Linked DNA regions of Struthio camelus. The protein of the gene in region 2 binds, or shares a complex with, the protein of the main gene of each other region. Links are inferred from orthologs where the notes say so. Each region holds a gene or a part of one and is shown on either strand. Other genes may lie near its edges.

The links.
Region 1: the proteins of AMHR2 (region 2) and AMH are in contact, whole or in part, in a crystal structure (PDB 7L0J), measured with the Homo sapiens proteins. The link is inferred for Struthio camelus from reciprocal best matches to the Homo sapiens genes AMHR2 and AMH. Residues at the interface, in NP_065434.1 of Homo sapiens: Gly31, Val32, Arg33, Gly34, Ser35, Thr36, Thr38, Leu39, Phe62, Ile64, Glu75, Met76, Arg80, Asp81, Ser82, Glu84, Pro85, Ser95, Arg97, Ala98, Pro100, Ser101, Leu106, Thr108; in NP_000470.3 of Homo sapiens: Leu471, Arg472, Glu474, Val477, Leu478, Ile479, Pro480, Glu481, Thr482, Tyr483, Gln484, Lys534, Leu535, Ile537, Leu539, Glu542, Arg543, Ile544, Ser545, Ala546.

The regions. Positions count from the first base shown.
Region 1 is NC_090967.1:3,455,125-3,462,390, forward strand, and holds the start of AMH (muellerian-inhibiting factor), read left to right. Parts: upstream 1-4,195; 5' UTR 4,196-4,285; coding exon 4,286-4,889; intron 4,890-6,282; coding exon 6,283-6,461; intron 6,462-7,197; coding exon 7,198-7,266. Other genes in the region: SF3A2 (splicing factor 3A subunit 2), read left to right, coding at 450-518, 1,316-1,648. UniProt on the Homo sapiens protein: Plays an important role in several reproductive functions. Induces Muellerian duct regression during male fetal sexual differentiation. Also plays a role in Leydig cell differentiation and function.
Region 2 is NC_090969.1:3,345,034-3,353,088, reverse strand, and holds the start of AMHR2 (anti-Muellerian hormone type-2 receptor), read left to right. Parts: upstream 1-4,997; 5' UTR 4,998-5,035; coding exon 5,036-5,060; intron 5,061-5,168; coding exon 5,169-5,324; intron 5,325-5,980; coding exon 5,981-6,176; intron 6,177-6,879; coding exon 6,880-6,902; intron 6,903-7,020; coding exon 7,021-7,086; intron 7,087-7,790; coding exon 7,791-7,909; intron 7,910-8,055. UniProt on the Homo sapiens protein: On ligand binding, forms a receptor complex consisting of two type II and two type I transmembrane serine/threonine kinases.

The DNA of each region.
Region 1 (7,266 bases), on a different chromosome or scaffold from region 2:
CAAGACATTAATTCCCAGTGAGCAGCAGACTTGCTCTATTCTAGCCTTTGTGGGGTTAATAGAGTGGAATGGGGGGAGGGGGTCAAGAAGAGATGACTGGAAGTCATTAAACCCCACTGAGAATTGGTGGAGGACTCTGGCATGAAAACTAGGCTGTATGCTGAGCTCTGGGGAGCCATTGAATTCTCGGTGTCTGGCACAGAAAGGAGCCTTCTGGGCTTTGCTCCTCAGCCTTTGTGCAGATGTTTTTGCCAGCACACTTGTCCTTGACCGATAGGAAAGTAACTTAATTCTTTCCTGCCCCCCTCTCTATCTAATAACATCCGAGACTAGCACATCTCACAAAGGCCTGGAATAACTGTGCTTATCTTGCAGGCTCTATTGCTAAAAAGGGCCATTGAGCTAATCTGGCGGTGCTAATAATAGCTCCTTATTCTTTCTTGATGCAGGTGCCAAGCAGAGAAATCGACAAAGCAGAAGGAAAATTTTGGACCCATTGGAACAGAGAAACCAAACAGGTAGCTGGAGCATTACAGCTTCTTTCTCAGGGATAGAAGAGAGCTCAGGAGGGCAGAGCAGCTTGGGGAAAAAGGCAATGCAGGAAGAGAACACATCCGTGGTGTCGCTGGCTTTGATGCTAAAATCTTGACTCTTTCAGTGTAACTGCGTAGTGACTCCTTTTGGGATAGGTGAAATGAGTTTCTTTGGCTGCTGGTATTGAATGGAGACAGTGTTGACCTGCTGAGCAACTTCTGCATTTTGTTTGAGATGTCCCTCTTACTCATAGTTTCAACAAAGAAACTGAGATTTGACTAGGTCACCGAGATATAACTTCCAAGACCTCTTTGTCCCTTAAGTTTCTCACGGGGCAGGGTGGATTTAGAAGTGCAGTGTTTAAGGCAAAGCTTGTACAGCTGCTGCAGAATTGAATTCCTATATGGAACATAAAGAAGTAATTTCAGTCTTCTCACTGTCAAGCTAGGTATCTGTGGTGAGCTTGTAGTGTGTGTTTACCCACTAGGTATCATATGTGGGGACAGGGCACCAATGCATAGGTAGGGGACGCTGACCCCATCACTGATAGCACTTGGAACAAGTTTCAGAGGAGTTAAAATACCGGGCAAGACTGGTGAAAGCCCTGAACGCTGTCAGGGTAGAAAGCCAGCTGTGATCTGTGAAGGTGATAGTTGAGGAAAAAAAACGAGTTTTTGTTCCTTGAGGCAGAGACAGAATGGGCAGAGCGGCTGCGTTGTGTGGTGTTCCAGAGTTGTCCCGAGGCGTGATTGTTCCCTCCTCTTTGTTTCTCCCGCCGCAGTTCTTCCTTCAATTCCACTTCAAAATGGAGAAGCCCCCAGCTCCCCCAAACCTCCCTCCAGGGCCCCCAACTGTGAAGCGGCCTCCTCCACCTCCGCTGATGAATGGCTTGCCCCCAAGGCCACCTCTGCCAGACTCCATGCCACCTCCTCCTCCAGGAGGCATGACTCTGCCACCTATGCCTCCCTCTGGACCAGTGCCACCACCGCCAGTACCACCTCAGCTGCCACCAGCACCTGGTGTACCTCCTCCTGCTCCTCTGCCACCCATGATGAGACCACCTCTCCCCACCGAGGGGCCAGGCACTATCCCCCCTCCACCTCCCTCCAACTGAAGCCCCTCCTGGACTCAGTCCCACTGGACTTCTTTGGCTCGCGTCTTTTTATACGCACGTTAGAACTGATTCAGACAAATGTTTCTGTTTTATATGCCTGTGATTTTGACTATATCCTGTAGGTTCATTAAAAGGTTTTCAGCTTTGCGCTCTCTGTTTTCCTGTGTCTTGGCTAAAAGTGTTGCTGTGTGTTCACTTTCTTTAGCCTTTAAATATATGAAAACATTTTCAGTCTGGTAATGTGTTGGAAATTATCCAAACAGGAGAAAAATGATTGCAGACCTCTAGGCTCTTCACTCACTTCTGAGGTAACTATATTAACAATTTATTAACAATTCAGTTGTGTTAGCGCAACGTATTTCTCCATTTTAGATTGCTTGACGTGTGTCCCGTAAATAACCAGCCAGTTAGTCAGTTGATATTCATCTACATTCTTTGTCAAGCAGTTCATTCAGGGACTGGGAGACTCTTCATAGACTCACCTAAAAGGATTTTATTTTATTTTATGACTGTAGTACCAGTAATCCCATTGGTGGACAGAACGTAGGGCAAGTAGAAGTTTCTAAATGCAGTTTTGTCTGTGTCCCTGCTGAGTTACAGTGAGTCAGAAATGCATTGGTTGTGCAGCTTCAGAAACCTCTTTTGTTCTGCCAGTGTCAGAGCACTCTACGGTAGCTCAGGTGTTGCCAGCTAAAAGCATAGAAGCATCTTTACTGAGGAATTAGTTTGGACTGGTTCTCAAGAGTCCTTGAAAAGTGCCAGACAAGGTTTCATTGAGAAGTCTAAAAAGACAATCATCCTTCTCTGATATGCAGCTGTCTAGCTCCTTCCCGGTGCTCACTAGCCTGTTTATGCCAAGCTTGGGTTTGCAAACAAAAGTTTTTAATAATTTGTTGGTGCTGTCATCATCTTTGATGATGGCAGAGATTCTGGAGGTGTTTAGTTAAAAGACTTTACTGAAACTGCAGTTATATTAAAATCTTAATTTATTGCTGTAATTCATAAAATGTTGTCTGTTTGCTTATGAAGCACCTGCTGTCATTGCATATGATTTTTATTGTATACATCCTCCCACTGGTAGATTAGTTTTGGCAAGCTTTTAGCCCTCTGTGTTTTATACTAAATGTTTCTTTCAAACAATCATTTGTGATTCCCATTAAAAAGCGGAAAAAGTTCTGAGATTTCTCCTCTCTGTCCTTTCTGGGATTCATCTCATTTAAGTGATGCGTTTCAGTTAGCGCTGGATACTAGGGCACTCTGTGGACAAAAAGTGCCCTCACTTTGCTAGAGGCTGAGCTGGCTGACCCCAGACTTGCTCTTAGCCAATGTCTGGCTCTTTTCAGTGACTGCCTAGGGAGGCTGTGCCTGCTAGAGCACTTCAGTTACATGCCTGTTGTCTGGTGCAAAGAATCAAAGCCTTTGTCTCTTCTGCTGGCCTGATACGGATCCCTTTTTACCCATAGCCACGCAAAGTCAAGAGCCAGGCAGAGGCTTTCCAGCTCTCAGAGGATTTCCAACTCTCACTGGCTTTCATGCAGTATTAAGCATTTTTTCTTAAGCTGAGCTGACCTGATGTCTGAATCAACCTGTGTGAATTTCATGTGTGTCAGGTTCATATCTTTTGTTCTAGCTCCTTTAGAAGAGAGGTCTGTGTTCACCAGCCCCTTGCTTTGTTGCCCTTTATTCCTGCCTGGGATGGAGTCCTATAGCTAGTTCCTGAGCCTTAATCAACTGCAGGAGTCCTGGAAACCCAGAGAAGGGTCTGACCATGTGCTGGAACTTTTTTGAAGGTACATTTCCCCCCTCCCCTCCAATACCAAAAAAAGGTATCTTGGGCAGGGAAGAGTTTCCCTGGAGTGAAGTAGGTAGTGGCGTTAGTAATTCCAAATGCTATAGTGAGTATTGGTATCTAATAGAGGGAGAATCCTTATAATATTTACATGTGTTGTGAGACTTACTAAGGCCTGATCTAATCAAATCTTAAGTGTTCAAATTTATCAGGCTCCAGCTGCACCCCATAAGGTACTCTTTTATATAAAAGTGTTCTTGTAATTTTGCAATGTCAAGCAACATAAATTTCAGGAAGAGACGTACTAAAAAACCCTGTAAGGTGGCCTCTCTAAACTGCACAGTGCACAAGGTGGCTTTCCAGTGAAGAGAGAGAGAGAGAGGGAGCACTTTCTCTACTTCTTCTTCTTAGTTTCTTCCCATTATCTGTCTTTATCCCACTCCTCCTAGTCTAGCTAATTCTTCCCTCCTAGTGTTTCATTACTGATGGGAATAGTATGTGCCAGTCCCCATGAAGATTCAAGTCTAGACTTCCATCCTCCTTTAAAAAAACATCTGAAGTCAAGGACATGCATCCCTACACGAAAGGGAAACAGCTTTAATTTTTTTACATTTCCAATACTAGATGCAAACCCAAAAATAGACCAGAAAAGTTTCTTTGAAACATCCCTCCCTCCTTTAGAGCATGACAGCCTTTGAGTTTCTCGAGGGAGGTGTGTTGTGCATTGTCAACTCAAGGCCACTGCTTTTTAAAAAGGGAGATGCAGTCCTCCCCTTCCGCACAACTGTTTTGAGAGATGCATTTGAGCGACTCAAGACAACGGAGTTTGGAGTAGCTGAAGTGGGAACATGAAGCCTGCTCTCAGGGTGCTTTTGCAGTGCCTGGTGCTGTTGCTCCCGTCTGTAGCACTGCCAAGAAAAGGGAGCATTGGGGAACGGATTTCCCCTACTGATGAAGTAGAGCTGCCTCTTTCAAAGGCGCTGGGATTTGAAGAAGAGGAGAGGAAGAGAGAAAATGCAAGTCTACACGAGAGAGTGAGACCCAGCTCATTGGCAAGATCAAAGATGACTGTTGCTACTCGCCTCTTTTCCAAGACTGACCCAGGAGCAAAATGCCTCCAGGTGATCACTGAAGATAGGGGCGTAAGCTGGTCTGACTCTAGCCTTCACTCTTGGCCACTTGGGGGGCTGGAAGGTCCAGTGTGCAGGGTGAAAATGGAGCAGGACGGAATGACCCCGAGGCACCTGGAAATCGTGGGTGTTCTCACCCACTATGAAAGTAGCTTCATCAAGCTGTTAAGACAACGTGCCAGCTGGGACGAAAGCTATCTTGAAACCTTTGGGATCTGTCCGGCAGGGGATGCACATGGTGCCCTCCGCTCCCTGAAACACATCCATGCTCACCTGGCAGAGCCAGGGGAGGATCGGTTCCTTGTGCTGCATCTGGAGGAAGGTGGGTGCTTTCCTGATGGAAGAAAGTAAAATTCCTGAGCTAAGACTCAGGATGTTGAAAGGGGGTTGAGCACAGTGCCCCGGCAGACAAATGTTATTTTATAGGCCTCAGAGACGCTGTCAAAAAAATTAAATTTGTGGGGTTGGATTCACTTTAAAATTAGTTGATCAGTGTATTAAAATATCTTTCCATTTATAGTTTTAAGCAGCTGCAGTTTTAAAAGTGATGACAGCCTGTGTGCAATAACATGCTTTGTCATTGGCTGTGATTAACACAAGTACCATGGTATTGGTGGCTTTTATAGTACCCGTTTTCTGAAAGTAAGAGCTTTTCTCACTTTCTGCCTTAATCTTTTGGATTTCCTATGCAACCCAGTACCAGTTCTATCTGCCAGGGAAAAGAGAGGAGACAATTGGACAAGCAGACCTGAGCGGTTCTGCTGCGGAGTAAACCTTTCTAATCTCAGCGACCTAAAACATATGCCAATATTTTATGCTTAATACTGGCTTGATAGCCCTGGAACCTGAACGTATTTTTTATAGCCTAAGTCCCCCATGTAGATCAAATGCATGCATCACTTCTGTTCTGTTTCAATTAGAAGTTATGTGCTTGAGGGAGGACTCCCTGGTTCAATCCTTGGTTTTAATCTGGCCTCCTGCTTAGCAAGAGGATCACAGTTGTTTCCCTGGCCTTGAAATTATTTCCTCCCCCTCGAAGGTTTTAGATTTTCAGCTAAACTTGCTGGTGTTGGTCAGCTGAGGATATGGCTCTTATCTGGAGAGTGCCGCCCTGTGTTCCAGCTGCAGGTGTTGATAACCAAGCTGCAATGCGATGACTGGGATTTTCCTGAGCCATTGAAGGGACTAAAATTGGAGAAGGGATTTCCAGAGGGCTTCTGTCTCTGAAAATTTGCCGGAGTAATTCGGAGAGCGAGGCTGTGCCATGCTAGCTGGGGCTGTAGGGTCTGCCCTGCTGACCATGTCCTGCCTCGAGAAGGGGGAAGGAAATTTGCAGTGTGCTTCCACTTGATCAGCTCAGGGCAAGCAGCCAGGACTTCCAGGCTCTCTGCCCTTCCTCTGCCACCAAAAGGTCCCATATCAGTAACATCTCCAGCTCTGTCCCACCAAGGGTCTTCGTTTGGCTCAGCAGCTGGTTCAGAGGACAGTGAAATGACTGTGGACGTGGGTGACTGTGCTGTGGAATAACCTGCTCAGCCAAGGAGGGGAACCGTTTCTATCATCCCCAGCTGTTAACAGCTGTGTAGGAACAGTGGTTGGCCCTGAAACCCCTCCCTTAGCTGCGTGCTTGTCTGTTGTTGCCCCTTCCAGGCCTGCCTCCAGGAGTCGGGCGGATGAAGGGGGTTGTTTCACGCTTTTTGTATTTTCCTTTCTAGTGAAGTGGGAGGCCCAGGCCAAGCTGCAGTTTAAGCTGGTTTTCCAGGCAGACGTGGGGCGGTCGCTGGGAGAGCTGCGGTTCGCCTTGCTGCTGTTCTACCTGGGCAGCCGAGAGGGGAAAGGCACCGGGGAGAGAGCCGAGCTGCTGGCAGCGGGAAAAGGGCTGTCCCAGGAGCAGGTATGCAGCCACACGGAGCTGGCCGGTGTGGCCGGGGCCAGGGGGTCCGGCCTGGGGTGCTAGCAGGGAAGGTGGGAGAGGAGGTGTCTTGGCACTCCTGGCCCAGCACCTTTCCAATTATGTCCCAGCATGTCTTCCAGGCAGCACCCTGTGGCTGGGGCCAGCGGGGCTGAGCTGTGCCTGAAGATGGTGCTGTTACCCTGTGCCCAAGCTGCTGGCAGGGACAGAGGGAGAGCACCGAGGGGGGGGTGACACAGCCCAGGCTGGCGGTCCGTTCTGGGGGGATGCACAACTCCCCCTTACTGTGCTGCTCTCTCCTCTCCCAGCTGCCCCAGTGCTCTCCAGCCTGACTGGGGAAGCAGCGGCAAAGCCAGCTCTAGTGGCACATTAGCAGGGGAGAAGTGTGTCTAGGGCTTGGGCTGATCTCACTGCCTACTTGGATGCCTACTTTGTTCCCAGCTGGGCTCCCAGACATCTCGCAAAGCCACCAGTTGGCCTTGAGGATGGCCTGGAAGTGGACATGACCATTTCCAGGGTCTCCAAGACATCTGGCATCTGGCACCCGCTACTGCTAGGTCTCTCGGTCATGTTAGCCACTGTCCATACCTTGGACTGGGTCAGGCCCAGGGCATCCAGAGCCAGGAATGAGCTTAACAGGAGGCTCATTTTACTGCCTGCCTCCCGTGATGTCTCACCTAAATTCTCAGGGGCTTCTGTGTCTTTCATCTCTGTACAGAGCCTCTGCCTCTCCAGGGATACCCAGTACTTGGTCCTTGGAGCCTCAGTAGCATCGGTGACCCGCACA
Region 2 (8,055 bases):
CCGGGGCCCGGTGACCACACACGAAGGCCAGAGCTATATATATATTTTTTAATTTTGGCTTGTCCTTATTATTATTATTTCCCCACTCCGACCCTCTTCCTCCACTCCCTCCCCGAGATCCGTCTGCCCCTCCGTAGCTAGCCTTCGATGCCATCATGCCTTGGTAAATGTATATGATCATTGAAATACTTTTTAGCAAAAAAAAAAAAAAAAAAGGAGGAAAAAAAAGAAAAAAAGATTCTATATTATTATTATATATATAAAAATATAAAATGTGTTCGTTTGAGAGAGGAGAGATTTTGCTGCGACCATGGCCTTGGTCTCTTTGATGCCTTATCTTGGAACAGGTTGACCCTCTGGGGCAGTTCGGACAGTGCCCGAGCTGTCGTTCAGATGCTATATTACATTTTACATTGTAACCTTTAAACAAAAAACAAAAACCAAGTCTTTTTTGTACACTTTGCTTTTAGGTTGTTCTTTAATTTCTTTTTAATTATTTGGGTGAGGTTTTACTTTTTCCCCTTGTAAAACAGCTGCCCTTTCCCTGCCCTTCACTGGACTGTTGGTCTTTATTTTAAGCGGTCTTCTTTGCGAAGATCCTTTTCCTCCGGCTTTTTTAATCCTCACTCTCGCGGGTGGAGCGTAAACTGTACATGTGGAATCAATTTGTAAAGGATTTTGTGCAGGTTCACTCGAGCTATTTACCAGAGGGTCTGGGACCCCGTGCATTGGGATGATTGGGGTACGGTTGGAGACGGGTTGGGAGGTCCTTCAAGGCCTCAGGCAAACTTATTTTTCTGCCTTCGTTGGTCTTAATAATAATCCTAAATGGGAGATCAGTGCCTCCCGAGCGGGAGATGTTACTTTTCCACCTTAAAGAGATTACTGGCCGCCGCAGGGCCGATCAGAGGTGCAAAAGCAATGCGTGGGGCTGCCCTGGCAGCAGGGCGAAGCAGTAGGCAGGGCCGGCGGCGACTGCTCGTCCGCCGAGGCATGGCTTGGGGCGTCCGGGGCCCGGTTAGCTCGGGGTGTCACCTTGCAGGTTTTCTTCTTCCAACACTACTGTATGTGGCTCTTCCGGCTCTGCTTCTGCCAGGCTTGTACAAAAAAAATAAAGGGGGGGTGTTGGAGATGGGGACGATGGGGGGAAAATTCTACTTCTTTTCGGTGCCCAGCTCTTCCCACCCCACCAAGGGGATGGGAGAGGACTGGGAGCGCTAGACAGCTCCGTCCTCTTCCTTTTTCTCCCCCACCCTCCTCTTCCTGCTCAAGTCGCGAGACAATATCTGCCCTTTGCCCTCCCACCTCCGGCTGTAAACAGGCGAGAGGCTCCCTGCCCGCGGCAGGAAGGAGACGCAGGGAGGCCGGGACGCGCTCGGCTCCGCTCCAGAGTGCCGGCGCCCCGCGGCCCTGCCGGCTGCCACCTTTGGGGGATTTCATCGGTGGATCTCGCAGCCAGCGTCTCCAGTGGGCAGAGCGCATGGGGCGGCTTTAATTAGTCTCCGAGATCAGGCGATGGTGCAGCGCGCCTCCGAAATACCCGTTGAAAGCTGCCCCGGTGCTCGACACAGCAGGCGGTGGGCAGGGAGGCACGGATGGGAAGGGGCTCTTGAGCTCTTTCGTTACATCTGTTTTTGTTTCCAAGCAGAAATGGTGGGGTGAGACGAGGCAGAAGCGGGTCTGAGCCGGAGATGAGAGAGCGCCCTGTCGGAAAGGTGTCCACGGGCAAGACGTACGGAAAGGTTAGATCTGAAACCTTGCTGGAAAGCTGTGGCCAGGGCGGCTGGAAAGTAGAGCAGGCACCATTGGTCCTAGAAATACCTGGTGCGCATCTCAGATGTCTGAACTGAGCCTAGTTTGGAGGTGGAAATAGTGTTGCCAGCAGGTCGAGGGAGATGGTCCTGCCCCTATGCTCACCTGGAGCGCTGGCTGCAGTGCTGGGCACCCAGTATAAGAGATACGGAGCTACTGGAGCGAGTCCAGCGAAGGGCTGCTAAGATGATTAAGGAGCATCTCTCATATGAGGAAGGGCTGAAGGAGCTGGGACTGTTCAGCCTGGAGGAGACCGAGGGAGGATCTTCTCAATGCGTTGAAGTATCTGAAGGAAGGGTGTCAAGAAGGGTATCTGGAGGACGGGGCCAGACTCTTTCCAGTAGTGCCCAGTGACAGGGCGAGAGGCGACGGGCACAAACTGAGCGTTCATCTGAACATAAAGAAAAGCTTTTTGACAGCGACGGAGCTCTGGAGCAGGTTGCTCAGAGAGGTGATGGAGTCTCCGTCCTTGGAGACTGCCTGGACAGGGTCCTCGCAACCTGCTCGAGGTGAGCCGGCTGGAGCAGGGGGTCGGACTAGGTGATGTCCCGAGGTCCCTGCCGACCTCAACCGTTCTGCTGAGCTCCCGGTGCTCATTCAGAAAAGAAGGGGGCAGCCGGTGGAGGCCAACGCGGGCGTCTTGGTCTTCCAGGTCCCACCGAGTTTGCAGTGGTTAGATCAGACTCCTTGTATTTGTCTCCTCCGGCCGGGAAGCTCAGCAGGGGTTTGGACGCACGCTCGCGGGGGGAAAAGCCAGCACAGCCGCCCTGGGGAGAGTTAGGTGAACTCTGGCCGCCGTCTCACACCTGCACGCGGTGTCTTCCTCCCTCCTGGCAGAAAAACCGAGGGCGATTCTGCTGTATGTTTTTCTCCAAAGTTTTTTTTTTTTTTTTCTTTTCCTTTTTTTCCTGCCTGAGGATAACCAGGAAACTTCCCGGGCGACGGAGAGCCAACGGTTCCCTCAGTGGCTTTCTCCGCTCCCGGAGACGCGTGCTCCCACTCTATTCGCTCGGCTACCCAGGGGGCTTTGACGTAGCCGGGCCACCGGAAGGGAGACGCAGGCTCTCCGCCAAGGTTGCCAAAAGAGCAGCTCGGCTCGGACTAGCTGCAAACATCTTTGGAGAGGAGTTAAACCGGCTCGAGGCCCCGCCACCTCATGGGCACCCAAATCGGGGCACCCCGTGGTGCACCGAGATGCCGCCGTGAGCCCCACGGGGCAGCAGGGAGAGCTGCCCGGGGCCCGTCCTCGCTCCGAGACGCGCCGGCATGTTTTCCGCGGCAGTGTCGTCTCGCTGGAGCCACGAGGAAGCTCCCGAATGCGGCCCCGGCGCCTTGCCCGGCTGCTCTGGGTGCCCCGGATGCTTTGCTACAGCGAGGCGTCCGCCAGCCACATGCCGCCCGCTCCCTGGGGCTGAACCCGGCGGCGGAGCGACCCCGGCCAAACTGTGAAGCGCGAAGGTGGTTTGGGGTTTGTTTTGTTTTGTTTTGTTTTGTTTTACCTTGTTTTTACAGAACTGCAGGGAGGGAGGAAGTAACCGTGGCGATTCCTCCGGCTGATCCTTTCTGCGCTCGCTCGCTCTCTCTCTCTCTCTCTCTCTCTCTCGATATATATTTTTGCATTTGTATATTTTTATATAGGAAACTTTAAGCATTTGTATTTTAATAATCTGTGAAGCACTATGAATCCCCCTGGCGCGTCCTGTCCGTGTCCTCCCCCTCGATACTGGAAGCTGCAGAGAAATTGATAGAAAGCAGTATTTTTTAATTTAATCATGGGGTTTTTTGTTGTTGTTGTTGGGTTTTGTTTTGTTTTGTTTTGTTTTTAACCCCCCCCCCCCGGTAACGCTGCCTTGTCGGGGTCCCGGCGGAGCCGCCGCCGAGCCCCCCTGTGCCCGGAGGGGAGCGTCGCCCGCTCGCCTGCTCTGCTCCCTCCCAGCCCACCTTCCCGCGGAGGCTGAGCCAGGAATCAAGTGCCAAACCCTGGCGCCGCGCCTGCCCCGGAGCTGCGAGGATTTGGGGGCCGTTCGGGTGTTTCGGGTTAAATTTCCCACGCCCCCCCAATGCCAGCTCTGCAGCCCCGGCGCCGTGGCCCCCCCCCCCCCCCCATCATCCCTTCGGTATTTTAACCGACGGAGTTTTAATTTTCCTATGGAAACGCAGCCGGGAGGAGTTGTCCGAGGCGTTTCGCCTGGCGGGAAGCGGGGGGACAGAGGATTCGGGGACACGACGGCGGAGCAGGGCCGCCCCCGGGCTCCGGCCCTACTCCGCGGGCCCCGCCATCCCCCTGCCGAAACGGCTCCATCGTCCAGAGCCATCGCAGGGAGCAAAAACGTGCCTTGATATCCGGGCGAATAAAAGCGGGGGGGAAAGGGGGGGGGGGTGCTCCGGCTTCGGCTCCTTTTCTACCCGCCCGGGACGGGACGGGTGTTTCTGGCTTCACATATCTCCGAGCTTTAATCCACCGTCGCCCCTTAAACCCGAAGAGCAGCCCGCGGCTGGGCGGGCTGGGGGGCGAGAGCGGCCCCGGGGCGCCCGAGCCCGCCCGCGCCGCCCCGACACTGGCAATAATTCTCGATCCGCCTAAAGACTGTTTTACCTTGTAATAACGTCCGCGCTTTTGGGTTTTTTTTTGTTTTTTTTTTTTTTTAAATCCAGTGGCTGATGTACTGATGTCCGAAACACGTTTTCAAAGTGCTATTTTTTTGTACAAAAGACTAGATTAAACGTAGTTTTTGGCTCCTTTGTAAACGGATGACGGCTTTTTAATTTTTTTTTGGGGGGGGGGGTGAGGGAGAGGGGTTGGGGGTAAGAAAACGCGCGGCGGGCCCGAAAGCGGCAGCGTTATCCGTCTGCCGTTATCGGCTGGGGAAACCGAGGCACCCGGCACCCCGAGCGCCTGGGGAAACCGAGGCGGGGAAGGGGGTGGGGGGAACCCGGCACCCCGCTACGGGTCCACCCGTGCCCCCAGGGGGTCCAGGCGCCGGGGGGTTGAGATTCAAGCGCTGTTCCCCCCACCCGGGGCACCCTGCCCCTCTCTCCTCCCCGGCGCGGGGGCAGCCCGCGCCTTCCTCCTCCTCCTCCTCTTCCTCTCTCCGGGGGCTGCCTCCCTCCAGGGTCCATTTCTCTTCCAGGCGGCCCCGGCCCCCGCACGCGTCCTGCCAAGTCCTTCCCCGCCGCGGGGGCGGCCGGGCACCCGCGCCAGGTGCCGGAGCTGGAGGCACCCATGGGGCTGGCGCCGGGGCCACCAGGTGGGTGCCGGGGCCCCCTGCCGCCAGCACCGCCGCGGGGACCCTCGCGGAGGGAGCGGGGTGACGGGAGCCGCTGCCACCCTCGCCCGCACTCGGTGTCACCCGCAGGCGCCCGGAGCCGCAATCTCAGCTGCGTCTCCTACAAGCACCCCAGCGTGCGGGGCAGCCTGGGGGGCGCGGGGGGCCCGGCCCGCCGCACCGTCCGCTGCCCCCCCCGGCAGTGCTGCATCGGCATCTGGAACCAGAGCCACGCGCTCGTGCAAGGTGAGGCCCGGACGCCTGGGCCCTGGGTCTCATCCTGCCCTGGGGTGGGGGGGGAGAGGTGAGACGGGGCTGGGGCTCATCCTGCCCTGGGGGGCAAGAAGGGGCTGGGGCAGGACCCTGGGTCTCATCCTGCCCTGGGGAGATGAGATGGGGCTGGAGCAGGACCCTGGTCTCATGCTGCCCTGGGGTGGGGGGTGAGGTGGGGCTGGAGCAGGACCCTGGGTCTCATCCTGCCCTGGGGGGGGTGAGGTGGGGCTGGAGCAGCACCCTGGGTCTCATCCTGCCCTGGGGGGGGGTGAGAAGGGGCTGGAGCAGGACCCTGGGTCTCATCCTGCCCTGGGGGGGGGTGAGGTGGGGCTGGAGCAGGACCCTGGGTCTCATCCTGCCCTGGGGGGTGTGAGAAGGGGCTGGAGCAGGACCCTGGGTCTCATCCTGCCCTGGGGGGGTGAGAAGGGGCTGGGGATGGATGCAGGGTTCGGGGGGGGGGGGCCGGACGCCTGGGTCCCGGCTCAGCTCCTGCGCTCGGCTGTGCTTGACCTTGGCCGAGCCGCTTCGCCGGGGACCTTGAAAAAGTAGCGAAAGGCGAGCTGGCCCCGTGCCCGCCGCGGGGGTCCGGGGGGTGCCGGGATGCCGGTGACAGCGGCAGAGGTCCCCAGGCTGCTGGGGCGCCGGGGGGGCCGGCTGCCCCTCGCCCGCCTGCGCCCCCAGCCCCGCCGGCACCCCCGGCGGCACCGTCCTCGTCTGCCTCTGCCACGGCCACCTCTGCAACAGCAACGCCAGCGGGCTGGGGTCGGGGGCGCCCCGGCCGGCCCCGGGCACCGGTGGGTGCTGGGGAGCATCGGGGGGTCCTAGGTGTCAGGGGGAACTGGGGTGCTGGGGCGGCATCGGGTCTTAGGGGAGCTGGAAGGGCTGGATGGGACCCTCTTGGGGGAGTAGGGTGGGCTGTGGGACCCATGGGGTGACCAGGGTACCCATGGCGGGGCTGTGGGACCCATGGGTGGCCATGGGACTCATGATTGGGGGAGTTGGGGGAGCCATGGGGGTTGGGGGACCCATGAGGTGACCAGGGGACCCAAGGGGGGCTGTGAGACCCATGGGAGGCCCTGAGACCCAAGGGGGCCATGGGACCCATGGTGTCCCTGAGACCCATGAGGTGACCCAGGGAGCCATGGGGGGGTCTGGGTCCTATGGGGGGGACGAGAGGACCAAAGGGTATCCCTGGGACCTATGGGAGGATTAGGGGACCTATAGGGAGTGGGTGGCCCTGGGACCCATGGAGGGGCTATGGAGCCCATGGGGTTCTGGGGGACCCATGGGTGGCCCTGGGACCCACAGGGAAGTGGGGAGAGTCAAAGAGAGATCAGGGACCCATGGGGGAACTGGGGGACCCATCTGTGGCTGGGGAGCCCATGGGAGGTTGTGGGACCCATGGGGGGTTATGGAACCCATAGGGTGACCAGGGGACCCATGGCGAGCCTGGGGGACCCATGGGGGACCCATGGTGATGCCAGCCCCAGGGCTGCCCTGGGCGGGGGGTCTCAGCCTGCTAAGGGAGGACACCTCATCCCGGACGCCTGGGTCCCCTGCTGGATTGGGGGGGAGGGCCCGGACACCTGGGTCCTTTCCCCAGGTCAATGGCCGGGGCCGGTGTCACCGTGGCCTCTGCCCCCAGCGGCCGGCCGCACGGGGCCCGCAGGTGCCCTGTGGCTCTGGAGTGCCGGTGGCCTCCTCCTCCTCCTCCTCGCCTGCCTGGCCTTCCTCGGTAGGGCCCGGGGGGACGCAGGGGGATGCGGAGGGACGCGGGGACCCCTCGGCACGAGCCACCCCCATCCCTGAGCCCCCCTGCCAGGCCCATGGGTGCCCCATACCTCCAGGGTACCCCTCTGGGTGGCTGGGGATCCCAGTGTCCCCAGGGTGCCCGTGTCCTTTGTGTCCTGTGGGTACCAGTGTCCCCTGGGTGCTGTTTCCACAGGGTGCCCATGTCCCTTGTGTCCCCAGGGTGTTGGTGTCCCCTGGGTGCCCTTGTCCATGGTGTCCCCGAGATGCCCGTGTCCGTGGTGTCCCTGGGTGCAGGTGTCCCCGAGTGCCATGTTCTCAGGGTGTGGGGGTCCCCGGTGTACCCAGGTGCTGTGTCCCTGGCGTCCCCTGGGTGCCCATGTCCCTGGTGTCCCCAGGGTGCAGGGTCCTGTCCCCAGTGTCCCCGGGTGTGGGGATCCCTGGTGTCCCCGGGTGCTGTGTCCCTGGCGTCCCCTGGGTGCCCATGTCCCCAGTGTCCCCAGGGTGCAGGGTGCCATCCGCAGTGTCCCTGGAGTGTGGGGGTCCCCTGGTGCCTATGTCCCTGGCGTCCCCAGGGTGCGGGTCCCCAGGGTCCACGGTGTCCCCAGGGTGCGGGTCCCCAGGGTCCCCGATGTGTGGGGTCTCCAGGGTCCTCGGTGTCCCAGGTGCCACATGGTGGGTGCCTGGCAGGGCTACGGCGGGCGAGGGCCCACGGGGGGCGGCCGCCTCGAGGGAGCCGGGGGCCGGGGGTGGCGGGGACCCCCCTGGACCCCCCCAGCCAGGACTTGCCGGCGCTGCGCTTCCTGCAGGTGCGGGGCACCCCGGGGTGGGGGGCACCCAAGGCCAGCACCCGCACAGGGGGCACCCACATAGGGGGCACTGATGGAGGGCACCCACATGGATGGCACCCATAGGGAGGGGATTCATGGAGGGGGGCACCCACATGGGGGGGCAC